3 linked regions of the Coturnix japonica genome follow. The protein of the gene in region 1 purifies or fractionates together with the protein of each later gene. This does not show direct contact. Links are inferred from orthologs where the notes say so. Each region holds a gene or a part of one and is shown in the gene's direction. Other genes may lie near its edges. The genes, in order: PIDD1, CRADD and RIPK1.

The links.
Region 2: the proteins of PIDD1 (region 1) and CRADD purify together in Homo sapiens (affinity purification with western blotting; 8 studies listed by BioGRID and IntAct, with this or other methods). This does not show direct contact. The link is inferred for Coturnix japonica from reciprocal best matches to the Homo sapiens genes PIDD1 and CRADD.
Region 3: the proteins of PIDD1 (region 1) and RIPK1 purify together in Homo sapiens (affinity purification with western blotting; 3 studies listed by BioGRID and IntAct, with this or other methods). This does not show direct contact. The link is inferred for Coturnix japonica from reciprocal best matches to the Homo sapiens genes PIDD1 and RIPK1.

Annotation. Positions count from the first base shown.
Region 1 is NC_029520.1:8,843,276-8,847,565, reverse strand, and holds the start of PIDD1 (p53-induced death domain-containing protein 1), read left to right. Parts: upstream 1-1,490; 5' UTR 1,491-1,518; coding exon 1,519-1,801; exon of another isoform or gene 1,802-2,077; intron 2,078-3,230; coding exon 3,231-3,644; exon of another isoform or gene 3,645-3,655; intron 3,656-4,290. Other genes in the region: RPLP2 (60S acidic ribosomal protein P2), read right to left, coding at 1-36. UniProt on the Homo sapiens protein: Component of the DNA damage/stress response pathway that functions downstream of p53/TP53 and can either promote cell survival or apoptosis.
Region 2 is NC_029516.1:40,902,339-40,906,559, forward strand, and holds the start of CRADD (death domain-containing protein CRADD), read left to right. Parts: upstream 1-1,284; 5' UTR 1,285-1,450; intron 1,451-1,617; exon of another isoform or gene 1,618-1,745; intron 1,746-3,950; 5' UTR 3,951-3,958; coding exon 3,959-4,221. UniProt on the Homo sapiens protein: Adapter protein that associates with PIDD1 and the caspase CASP2 to form the PIDDosome, a complex that activates CASP2 and triggers apoptosis.
Region 3 is NC_029517.1:63,195,137-63,198,382, forward strand, and holds part of RIPK1 (receptor-interacting serine/threonine-protein kinase 1), read left to right. Parts: intron 1-439; coding exon 440-527; intron 528-1,353; coding exon 1,354-1,899; intron 1,900-2,973; coding exon 2,974-3,045; intron 3,046-3,246. UniProt on the Homo sapiens protein: Serine-threonine kinase which is a key regulator of TNF-mediated apoptosis, necroptosis and inflammatory pathways.

The DNA of each region.
Region 1 (4,290 bases):
GAGGACAGCGAGGAGGTACGCTGCAACGTAACGCATCCTGGAAAACAAAGCCGAAGTGTTTAATGCCACAGATCTAGTTTAATAATCCTTGTTTGCTTTTCCCCTCGCTGTGTTTATTACATAAAGGCCGTGGCGGGACAGGCCGCATTCCCACCTCCCGCCATTGCAGGCCCAGCATTGAGGCCGCTGACCCCGCAGTGCCCAGCAGCACCCGCCGGCCCAACACCCAACACCCGGCACGGCCCGACGCCCCCGATCCGTTCATCGCTCCATCCCATCCCATCCCGTCCCGTCCCGTCCGCCCTCAGCGGCCCAGGCCTGCGGAGCACATGGCCGCCATTCCCCCCCACCCACCCTCCCAGCCCGGAGCGGTCCCGCCCAAGCCCCGCTGAGTGCCGCGGCCGGGCCAGCAGCGCCCATAGCGGCACAAGGGCTGTGGGTACGGGGCACGGAGCCGCCCCGCGCTCACTTGGCGAGGCGATGGGGCGAGACGGGCCCGGGACGTGTGGTCACTACGGCAGCCCGGCAGCCAAAAGGAAAGGGCGGAGCTACGGCAACGCCTTCTTCCCGTCACCTCTCAGCAACGCCGGCTGCTATTGGGGAAGGTGGCCGGCTAATGGGGAGCTGCCGGATGCTTGCGACCGCATGCAATGGCCACGCGTGCGCGTTGGGCTGTAGGGTGGAGGGGTTGTTCCCTTTTGCACGGCTAAAAGTCCTTCTGTGGGGTTCTACCCCACAACGAGCTGCTTGTTCCCCCTAGCAAGGCTTGCCCCTGCTCTCCTCAAGGGCACAGCGGTTTCCCCATGCTGGCTTTGCAGCTGGGAGCAGCGCACGGTGTCCACGGCCGCATCTGTACGGGCACAGCAACGTGGGAGAGGGGAGAGAACTACCTCAGCGCCCTGTTGGCTGGTGAGGGCAGCAGCCCCGTGCCCTGTGCATTAACCCTGCCATATAAACCCTCTCCCCAGCTCGGCTGCATTTGCTCCACTGCCCTTTGACTGCTTTCCAGCCCCTGTTACCCGATTTCACAACGGGGTTGGTGGCAGCCCGTACTGGCTTAGAGCTGCTGCTCCTGTCTCTGCATTCCCTGCCCCGTTTTCCCTGTTTGCATGCAGACCTCCTCGCTGAGGCACTTTGTATTCTGCACGAAGCATAGACACTTCCATTGATACGTTTTAAAGTTCCTATTGCTGTTTATTATGATGGATAACTGGAGCAACACATATTTTCTCCATTCCCTGAGTTGGAAAAAATCAGCTGGGAAAATTTAGATGTGTTCTTTAGCAGGAGCCCCTACAGAGCCCCTGTGTTTCTGTCCCTTCTGCCCACAAAGCTTTTGACAACACACCTCCTGCCTTCTTGTTGCGGCTTTAAGCAGTTACCAGCCACCCTGTGCTGGGGCAGGAGGCCATCACTGTGCACATCTGCTCTCTTTCAGAACCATCCTTTCTCCTCTTCCCCATCCCGGCAGCCTGCCGGTGCCTGCCCACCTAGCAAGTCGGAGCATGTCTGGCCCCGATGGACAAGATGCAGAAGATGGCAGAACTGCTGAAGCTCGGGGACAAGGATGGGGAGGGGGCTCCGGGGGCTCCTTCACTCACTGGCTGCTGCTTGGCAGACAACAGGCTGACTCTGGATCTTTATCCGGATGGCTGCTGGCAGCTGCTCTGGCTGTTCGAGAGGCAACAGGCAGACGTGGTGCAGGTGGAGCTCCTCCGGCTCAGCACTAACAATCACCTGCTCGACGCCGCGCTGAGCATCCTTCCGCATCTGAAGCGCCTGAAGTCCCTGGTGCTCAAAGGTGAGTTCCTGGACCCCATCAATTAGCTTCGTGTTGGTGTTTAGCCATCTTTCCACATCTGCAGAACAAGATTCCTTAGAGCTTTTTTGCCCTGTGCTGGGGTATCGGCTCTTAGTCTCGCTCAGAGCTGCATGCGGATTTCAACAAGAATCAGCATCTAGACATTTATAACTTTCCTTTGCCTCTACAGCTGCGTGTGGACCAGTCTTTGGAGCCCGGTTAGGTTGATGCATTTCTTTATCCATCCTCTAGAAGAAGAGCATTTTTTTTGCACAGCTGTTTAAGGAGAGGGAAATTGAAAAGTATTTGATTTTTGATAAACGCTCAGCTTCTCTTTAATTTCTGTTAGTGTAATGAGCTGCCCTTGCTGTGGTCTGTTCTGAATCAGTCCTAATCCTTGCATTGTGTTAATGAGCACGGTCTGGGCACACACCAGGAGAAGCTGTTTGGTATTTTATCTAAAGCACAACTCAGGGTGTGTGTCATTCAGCATTCCCTAAGAACTGTTACACGTCGGAATTATAACATCTCTTGATTTCCTTATCTCTGAATTGTAGGAGGCTCTCAATATGAATGACACCATTTTTGTTTTAGATTGAATCATTTGATCTTTGGGAGGTAAAATTGTAATATCACGGGAGAGAAAAGAATTCAGGGTTCCAGCTGAAAGCTCTCATGACTGAGGTTCATTTCTACACCTACCACAGATGGCTTATAAAATCTCATACAGTTATTTTATTTATCTTTTCTCCTGCGGTAAGGTGAGGCTAATGGCAATGCCTTTTATGATACTTGTTTTGCCAGATGCACATGTACTCTGAACACCCTGAAGTGCAATAAAATAGTTGGACTACATTTTGTGATGCCCCAGGTACAATGTTTCTCTTAGACTGTTTACATTCTTTGCCATTATGAAGCGTAACAACAGTTGCCCTCTCCTATATACCTTCATGAGCAGAGCAGTGGAAGGAGACTAGGAGGCAAAGATGAGATGGAGAATTCTGTAAGCTTGCTTTGTGTGCTTGACTTCTTTTCCCAAGGTGCAACCATTCACCAGTCTGAGTTGGGAAGGATGTTCAGAGATTTGCAAGAGTGTGGGTCACTGCACTGAGTGATGGTATGTGTGTGGAGTGGCCTGGTTCTTTCTGAACTCTCCCCCACATGTGTTGAGCAGGGTTCTAGGAGTTCACTGTAATATCTCTATTATCTTCCCAGTAGATCTTTGTGATTATACCCTTTTCACAGATCAGGAAATGGAGGCAAGGTGCAGAAAACTTACCAAACTTTGTAGTCAGTGCAGCTTATTGTGATCAGAAGTTAAACATCATCTGAGTCTCCACGTTATAGCTTCAGAAAGGAGTGTTACACGAGGCTGGTGAGGTGTCCTCGTACTATATTGACTTCTTCCCCTACTTCCTTTTGCACCTAGGTGGCCTTGTCAGAGATGAATTTGGTTCGTGTCAGCGTGGCTCCCTGACAAGCTTACCACCAGATTTTGGGACCCTGAGGTGTCTCACTCACTTAGATCTCAGCTTCAATAGCCTCTCCACCCTGCCCAGCTGCATCCCTTGCCTCACCAGCCTCCGCATGCTCTCAGTGAGCCACAACAACTTGGTGGCACTTCCTGAGAACTTCGGCTCACTGAGCAAGCTGACTTTCTTCTCTGCTATGAAGAATCAGCTGAAGGACTTACCTCGGAGCATTGGGGAGCTGACAGCACTGGAAGAACTGGATCTCTCAGAAAATGCATTGGAACTTCTCCCTGAAGAGGTTGGAAATCTGCACAGCTGCACAGAACTGGATCTCTCTGGGAATCAGCTATCAAGAATCCCGGATTCTTTAGGTACCTGTTTTCTTAGGTGATAAGAAAGAGAGTCTGCTCAGTTTTTGATACAGGCCAGGATCCCTGAGCCCTTTGCCTCTGTTCCCAGGGTTGCTAGGACAAAGTGTCTGCTACATTAAAGCCAAAACGAGAGGGTTGTCCAAAAAAACCATGCTTGGTTGAGTCAGTCCCTGTGGGCATTAGTAGGTCATGCTTCTGTCAATCAAAAAGCTCCTAAGATTTTCCTGCAACCTAAAATAGTTGAGTTTAGCCTGGCTGATTTTTGGGAGCATCCAGGACTGGGAACAGAAGAGCTGGGGCTTAAGAGGAAGCAAAACAGCTTTAAATCAGGCTCTGTGTTATGGAGCGTAATAATCAGAAAGATCAACACAGTGGAATGGTGATACAGGAGATGTAATAACAAAGGGACTAGTGTGATAGAAAGGCATTACAAAGGAAAAGTGCTCACCCCTCTCTGAAGATCTGGGCTTGTAGGGAAAAATCCATAAGGGAAAGATCTCCAATCAGAAATCGCTTCAGAGTGGCAGTCAGCCCTAAATGAGATCTAAGAGAGGTGCAGCCAGGCTTCACCCCTTTTAGTCCCACAGCTGAGTTACCTTCACCTGTGGTCACAGGGCTGACTGGGTCCTTTCCCCAGGTACTCCAT
Region 2 (4,221 bases), on another chromosome or scaffold:
GAACCGCAGTCAGAACCCAAGCAGAACCGCTCAGTGTGAGGGCTGCTCTCCCTGTGCTGTTCTGTGGCAGCAGGGTGAGCACTGAACGCAGTCACCGCTCACATTTGTGTCCCTGCTGATGAGACCCAAACAACTCATAGCGCGTTCAGCTCCCACCGGTGAATTTCAGACACCGCTTACAAACTTAGTGGAAAGAAAAGGAAACACCAGATTTTCCCTTTAATCAAACCTGGACCTCTGCCGTTGCCCTCTTCCTTCCCAGGCTTATCTCCTTCCTCCCACCGCTCTCCTTCTCTGCGTGTTTAGGCTGTAAGCAGCGACGTGACCGGCGCTGGCTGTGCTAAAGGCAACGAGGCTGCTGCTATTTATTAGAGAGGGAACCGGAGCCGCTCTGCGCACATCCATATGTTTTGCTAACTTTCTAAGATATTCTTGGACAGTATAAAATAAATAATCACAATTGCCTCAACTGGCAGAAAGAATGCAAGCTATCTAATGAACCGAGCCGCTCCTGTCCCTTCTCTGGGCTAAGACGTGGGTTCATTGTCTGCACTGAAAGCAGCCGCCAGGACGGCAGTGGGGTGGTACCGAAAGTCCCCAGGTTCGGTCCCTCCGGTTCTAAACACAATACAGTTCCTTCCATGGTGACCAGCGCTGAAAAACAAAGCAAAGCAAACATTGGCAAGCAGAGGTACAGGAAGTTAAGGAAGGAAACTTTCAGCAGTCACACGGCTGTGCACGAGGGATGATCTTTATATATATACATATATATAAGATCATATAAGATATATACCGAGCCGTGACAGCCGTGCTGCGGATACAGGCAGCCAGCTCCTCGTCACTCAGCGGCTGGCGGTGCCTCCCCGCGTGGTTTGCAGCTAAGCTCACCCGCATGCAGGCTGTCCTGCCCCTGTTCCTAGAAGGCTGAGGTGTGCCCGAGACAAAGCATTACCGCGGCTTAACGCACATACCGGAACGCAGCATCACCTAAAATAATTTTTTTACCAGTAAAAGCAATTTCAACCCCTAGCATCAAATTCATTATCCGCCCGCTATCGCACACCGACCCGCGTGTGCCGAGTGACCCAAAGCATTGCGACCCCCCCTTCTCTCCCAGCGGTGCGCGGGTTCCGCGGACCATCCGAGAGCGGGGGGGTGTTGGGCTGCCGTGGGCGAACACTCGGAGGGCAGCGGAGCGTCCGAACGGAGCCGGCCCCGCCGCTCCCGGCCCCATCCCGCGGCTCTCCTTCCCCCGGCAGCGTTTCCCCCGCCCCGCTCCCGCCGCCCCGGCTGCCCACAAGTGACATGGCGGCACCCCCCGCCCTCGCCGTCAGCGGGGCCGGTGGCGGCGCTCCCCCGGTCCTTCCGGCGGAGCCCTCAACAAAGATGGTGCTCCCCGCACCGGCTCCGCGGCCGCCGGGGCGCCGCGTGTAGTGCCCCGTTCTGCTCCGTAAGTACGGGGAGCGGGCGGAGGGCTCCCCCGCCCCGCGCCGTCCGCTCCCGGTCCGCTCCGGGGCCCGCGCTCCTCCGGCTCCGGGGCGGAAGAGCGGCCGAGCCGGCTGCCGGGCGGCGCCGCGGGGCGTTCGGGCCGCGGCCCCCCGCGCTGCGGAGCCGGGGCCGGGCTTCAGCGGGGCGGGCCGGGGCCTGCGGTACGGGCTGCAGCGACGCCGCCCCCGGAACGGAGCGGGGCAGGACGGGGCCGCGCTGCACGTTGGGCTCGGCGCTCCGCCGCCTGCGAAACCCGAGTGCGTAGGGCCGGGGAACGACGGGGCCGGGGGCGGGGTGGGGACGAGCTGCCTGAGGGCGAGCGGGGCGTTTGGTGCTGGGAAACGCCGACCTACGGCGGGAGGGGAACGGGGAGGGTGAGCTTTGGGAACGGGAGGTTCGTCTGCCTTCGTGGACGGGTCAGGAAAGCCCCAACATGTGCCTGCAGGTGTGGGGATGAGTCAGGGGCCGTGGGATGTGGAAGTGCGATTCCTGAAGTCTGCAGTGGAAAGATGTACGTTTAGGAGTGTCTGGGGTGGCTGTGCTGTGCCATCCTGCAGCTAAACTGGACTTACATCCGTTCCTTTCCCTTTAGCAGCAGTGTTATGAGCAAAGTTTACTTTCGAGCTCACCACAGACCTCTAGATACAGACTAATTAGAATTAATTGAAGGTGTTTCCCTGTTGCATTAAACTCTGGCCCTGTGCTTGCCTGCATCAAAACTCTGATAACGCCTCCATGTGTGTATGCCCGGTTCCTGAATCAGACGTGGTAACCACCCTTAAAGAAGCACTTTAAGCTTTAAAAAGACCCTAAATATCAATAAGCACCATCCTGGCAGTTGTTGGGCTGCTGACCTTGGTGGCGAGTGGCCAGAAACCAGGATGTTGAGTTTCACCCATCCCTAATGAGCATCCTGACACCAGCCACTGTCCGCCTCCTGGCTCTCACCATCACCACTCTCCATGATGGGGTTTGGTGTTTAGGCTAAACCCATCAACCAGGCCTTGCAAAGAACGAGTGCCAGTAGAGCTGCTGCTCAGCTCCAAGATGGCCCAAGGCAGAAGGTGAGCACCTCAAGCATCAGGGTAACCTGAGCAGGTGCCATCCAGTGCTGCATTCAGCACTCAGGGAGAAGTGTTTTCAGAAAGCTGCTATGTTAGAGGGTGTCACAGACAGGGTTTTCCAGTCCCTCCCTTTTGGCTTTTGTATTCTGTCTGGAACACCATTTGTGTGCTTGTCTGTTCTGTTGATTACCTGCCCTAAATGTCAACAATCAGGCCACATGGGCATGTCTTTAATGGAGAGTTAACAGGCATCTCTGACAGTAGAAAAACTTGAACGGAGCTTGTAAAAATCTTGGTCTCTCTCTGAATCTTCGAGCAAAATGAAATATAATTCCTGTACAGTCAAGCTGTTATAACAGCAACTTCTAATTTAATTACTAGAAATTCTCCTGGTAATCACATTCAACACCTGCTACAGTTTTTTTGGCTTCACGATTTAATCACAAGAAAGTATTTAATTGTATTACTAAGTCATTTTCCTTTGCAAGTGCCATTAATGGTCCTGGGGATATGTTTGTCATTAGGGACTAGACTAGACATCTTGATTTAGTTCCTAGCTTTGGCACTTACACTTGATTTGATCTTGGATGAGTCGCCTGGTCTCTCTGGACCTCGATTCCTCTTTCTCAGAATGGCTATAAAATGCATCTTTTCCAGCTTTTGTCTAGTTGGAGCATTAGTTGAGTGAAATGGAAGCTGGCAGGCAGCACCCGATTGCTTCCTATAAACACATTAGAGCGGTGAATACCAAGGAGGGAGAGAAAATGTCTAGGCTAAAGAATGATATTGGCAGAAAAAAAATGCCTATAAATAGAAGGTGAATAAATTTAAGATGGAAATTTGAGGAAAATTTCTCATCACCAGGTCAGTCGAGTCCTAAAAGAGCCGTCCAGGATGGGCTGGGGGAGAGAACGACCTGGTGCATGCAGGACATTCCACCCCTGCTGAAATTAGGATGTGTTGGGTTGCCAGAGCCACTTGCTGGCTGGCAGCAGTGCAGCAGCCCTCATGTCTTAGATGTTGAGACCAGAGGTTAGGTGTGACACTGGGCAACTTTCTGGGGTAGAGTCTCTCATGGACTGGCAAATGCTCCAGCTGCTTTGGGGGTGGACCTTGGCCAGTTAGTGAGCCAGGTACTTTGGCACGGTTGTCATTCCTTCTAAGCACTGGTCTTCACAATGTCAAAAACTCTTTTCCTGTCTAATATTTCCCAGAAATGGTTGTGTTTTAGCTTGTAAGACTTTATGATTCGAGCAGAAATGAGGTGGTGGAGATAGTAGTTTTCCCAGGCTGATGATGTTGAGAATTCTGTCTAAAGAATGTTGGGCATCAAACATCACTTGAGGGCGTTCATGGTTGGAATTTTAATCTTGCATCTCCCCACTCCTTATGTTCTAGGTTGCCAAATGGATGCCAGAGACAAGCAACTTTTGCGCTCCCTGCGCCTGGAGCTCTGCACGGAGGTGCTGGTGGATGGACTAGTTATTCAGTATCTCTATCAAGAAGGCATTCTCACCGACAGTCATGTTCAAGAAATAAAATCCCAAACCACCAGCCAAAGGAAAACCATGATGCTCCTTGATATTCTTCCTACTAGAGGACCCAAGGCTTTTGATGCATTCCTGGATTCCTTACAGGAGTTCCCATGGGTTAAAGACAAGTTGAAGGT
Region 3 (3,246 bases), on another chromosome or scaffold:
TTTCAAGCCTCAAACTAGACTTCAAATTACTGAACACTACCCTCTGGATCCAGTTATTCAACTAGTTTTCAAGTCACTGTGCACTTATCTAGCTCACAGTTATCAGCTTCTTTGCTAAGACCTTAGGAGAGACATTAATTATGAAATGTATCCCTATGTGCCAATTAAACTTATACTCATTTAGGTAAATGGTGTTCTCTGGCCAGCTCAGAATTACTACAGTTGCATTACAGTTCTTCCTCCTTTCACTGAAGATAAGATTTTGCCCATCTGTAGCAAAGCAGCGGCTATTTTCTGCAAGGCTCTGTCCTCTGTAAGATTGATGGAATCTGTTCACCCAGGTGACTTCAGTATAAGGATGTGTTTTCTATTCTATAGGTGCTTCCTCTCGTTAAGCTTTTACCTATAACTTGACCATATGCTCTTTTCTTACATGTAGGAAATGTGGCCCAAGTCAGAAGAACTGCTGCAGAGGATGAAATCCCTTCAAATAGATGCTGTAGTAGATACCAGCAATGGCCAAATAGGTGGGTGTTCCAAGTTGCATAACTAGCACATCATCCTGGCATGTACTCTGCTAAAGATAAAGTTGCCCCTTTTGTAGCTATGGAGAGACTCAGTCATTCAGTACTTCTAAAATCCAGTAGAAGTCAAATCCTACTAACTTTGCCCACACCACTGTAAAGATTTTATTAAGCAAGTAACTTGGAACTATAACAGGCAACCGATAAACCTTCACCAAAGCTATGTTTGCCATAACAGAAGTAGAACTATTGGACCTAGTAAGGCAGGCCAATTGCTGTACTTTTAAAGTAGCGTAGGTACATTTCCCTAGCAAAAATAATAATGTAAGACTACAGATTACAGATGCTTTTGTGCTTTTTTTTGGTGACATCTCCAGATAGGATTTCTACATAATCTTTTGCAGATATGACTTCAGTGACAAATTATTTGTGTTGCATTAAGTAACGCCAATTACAGTGAGTTCTATCTTCCATCTTGTTATACTCTGGTCTTACACTGGTTAAATACCAGTTAATGAAGTCAAGACTTGGTAGTAAATTAGACCCTATGAGTGCTGCTGGGAACCTGTTGTTTCAGTGACTAAGAACCTGGTGTCGATATATGCAGAATACACAGTGAATTCAGACACTGCTTTCCTAAGCATAATTCAGTGACACTTCCCAGAAAGGGAAGTATTACATAAAACAGCTTATGCTGGAAGTGATGCTACAGTTTCATCTTTTATAATTTACCATAGTATTAAAAATAAATTAATAGAATCTAATGTCACCACTAGTTATATACTTGCAATAGAATCTGTTTTAAATACTTCATTTTTTTCCCTTTCAGATCAACCTAATTCTCTACACAGCTCTCAGGGTCAGATTAATGAAGCCTTGTTTGCTGCCTACCCTGAGAACCAGCCTGTTGAGAGCTGTGAGACTTCGTTTACATCCCCTGACAATCTTGAAAGAAAACTTGAACGTGAATACGACTACCATGCATACGGCAGCCGGATGGATAAATCAGTAGCTCCACCATACAGCCCTGAAATGAGAGAGAGAGAAACGAGACCTAAAGTTTCCAATGATCCATTTGCAAAGCTGCCTTCTGTTCCTCAATGGGGTGAACTGTATTACAAAGCTGAAAATATAGGATCAAACACTAACCCTTGGTTTTGGCCAAAACAAGCTGCAATACCAACTCAGGGAAATTTAGAAAATTTTTATGGGCCAAACGTTAACAGTCTCCTAACAGGAAACACTGAAGATCGCTATGATCCATGTTCAACAAGTGCCTTTAGCCTAAGCAAAACTCCTGTGCCGGAATCTCGCCCAAACCTGGGGGCACAGAACAGCGTAAACCAGCAACAAAAGAATGCAGATGTGGATACAGGTGAGATTCTTCCTCCTCTTAACTCTTGTGTTTCTGAAAATGTGTTTTTTCCTCTAAAGACAAAGCAGCCTTAATAATAGCAGACAGTGGATAATACTGCAGCAGCTAACAAAACCAAGAGCTCTTACTAATCACACTTGGAAAACTAAGGAGTATTTTTGACTCACAGAATGTAACATTCACACCACAGGCTGTGTGCGCAAAAATGGAACTTTTCTCATGTATGTGCATGTAGCATTTCAGAAAAGAGATATTTAAGCTTGATTTGCAGCAAGTTAAGAGTTCAGGGAGCTAACAAGGAACTAAAGCTCTTAACTGGTTTCTCCAGAGAACACTGCTCAGTGCTAACACAGAGATGCCCTTACAGTTTGCTAGTGAACTGTGGAATAGAAAGCTATGGAGAAAACGAAGAGAACAGTGAGTGTCAGTAACAAGTGGAAGCAATCATTGTAGGGAGGCAACATACAATATCATGGCAGGCATCAGGCAGATGCAGAAGACCTGCACTGCAGTTCTTCTATTGTCTTATTTGGTGACCATAACCCAGTCACTCTTACTGCCCAGTCACAAACTGTCAGAGCTCATCTGAGCGCATCCAAATCCATTACTACATCAGACAGGAAGTTACATCTCTGCAGGACATTATTGCTACCAACAGAAGATACGGTGGCATCCCCAGCTACAGCTGGTCACAACTAACATGCTAACAAACCATGATCAGTCTCAGCAGTAAATAGCAATGTGCTCGGCAGCCTTCTTGGTTTGGAGGCAGTAATACCTGTGTCTACGCTGTGATCCTGTGCTGCTTTCTGCCAGGCAGGTGTTCATACACCCATGTGGAATCCTGTTGTTCTCACTGGGATCCAAGGATCACAAAGGCTATCAGTCCATAAGCAAAACCACAATAAGGGTAACTGCTTCAGAGTTATTAAAGGAGATAAAGTCCTGTTTGTTAAAAAACTTTCTGTCTTTTTGTATTTAAGAGCGCTATGCACACTGTACAAATAACAGCAGTACTTGTAGATTTGTTTTTTTTAATTTCCATAACACTTCTGGCATTTCCTCTCTCTTTAGGTATCAAGGTTTCTGCCTCTTTCACAAGGGGAACTTTCACATATTATCCTCCTGCAACTCCAATAACCAGAGGTAAATGCTGTAGCCTTTGTTTGTCTTGGTAGCCAACAGTTTATGCATTGCATTACGATCAGTGAGGAAAAAAGCTTCAGCATCTTCATCATCAGGCTGCCCAGGGGGGTGGTGGAGTCTCCTTCTCTGGACATATTCAAGACCCGCCTGGACGCCTACCTGTGTGACGTGGTTTGGGGAGCCTGCTTTGGCAGGGGGGTT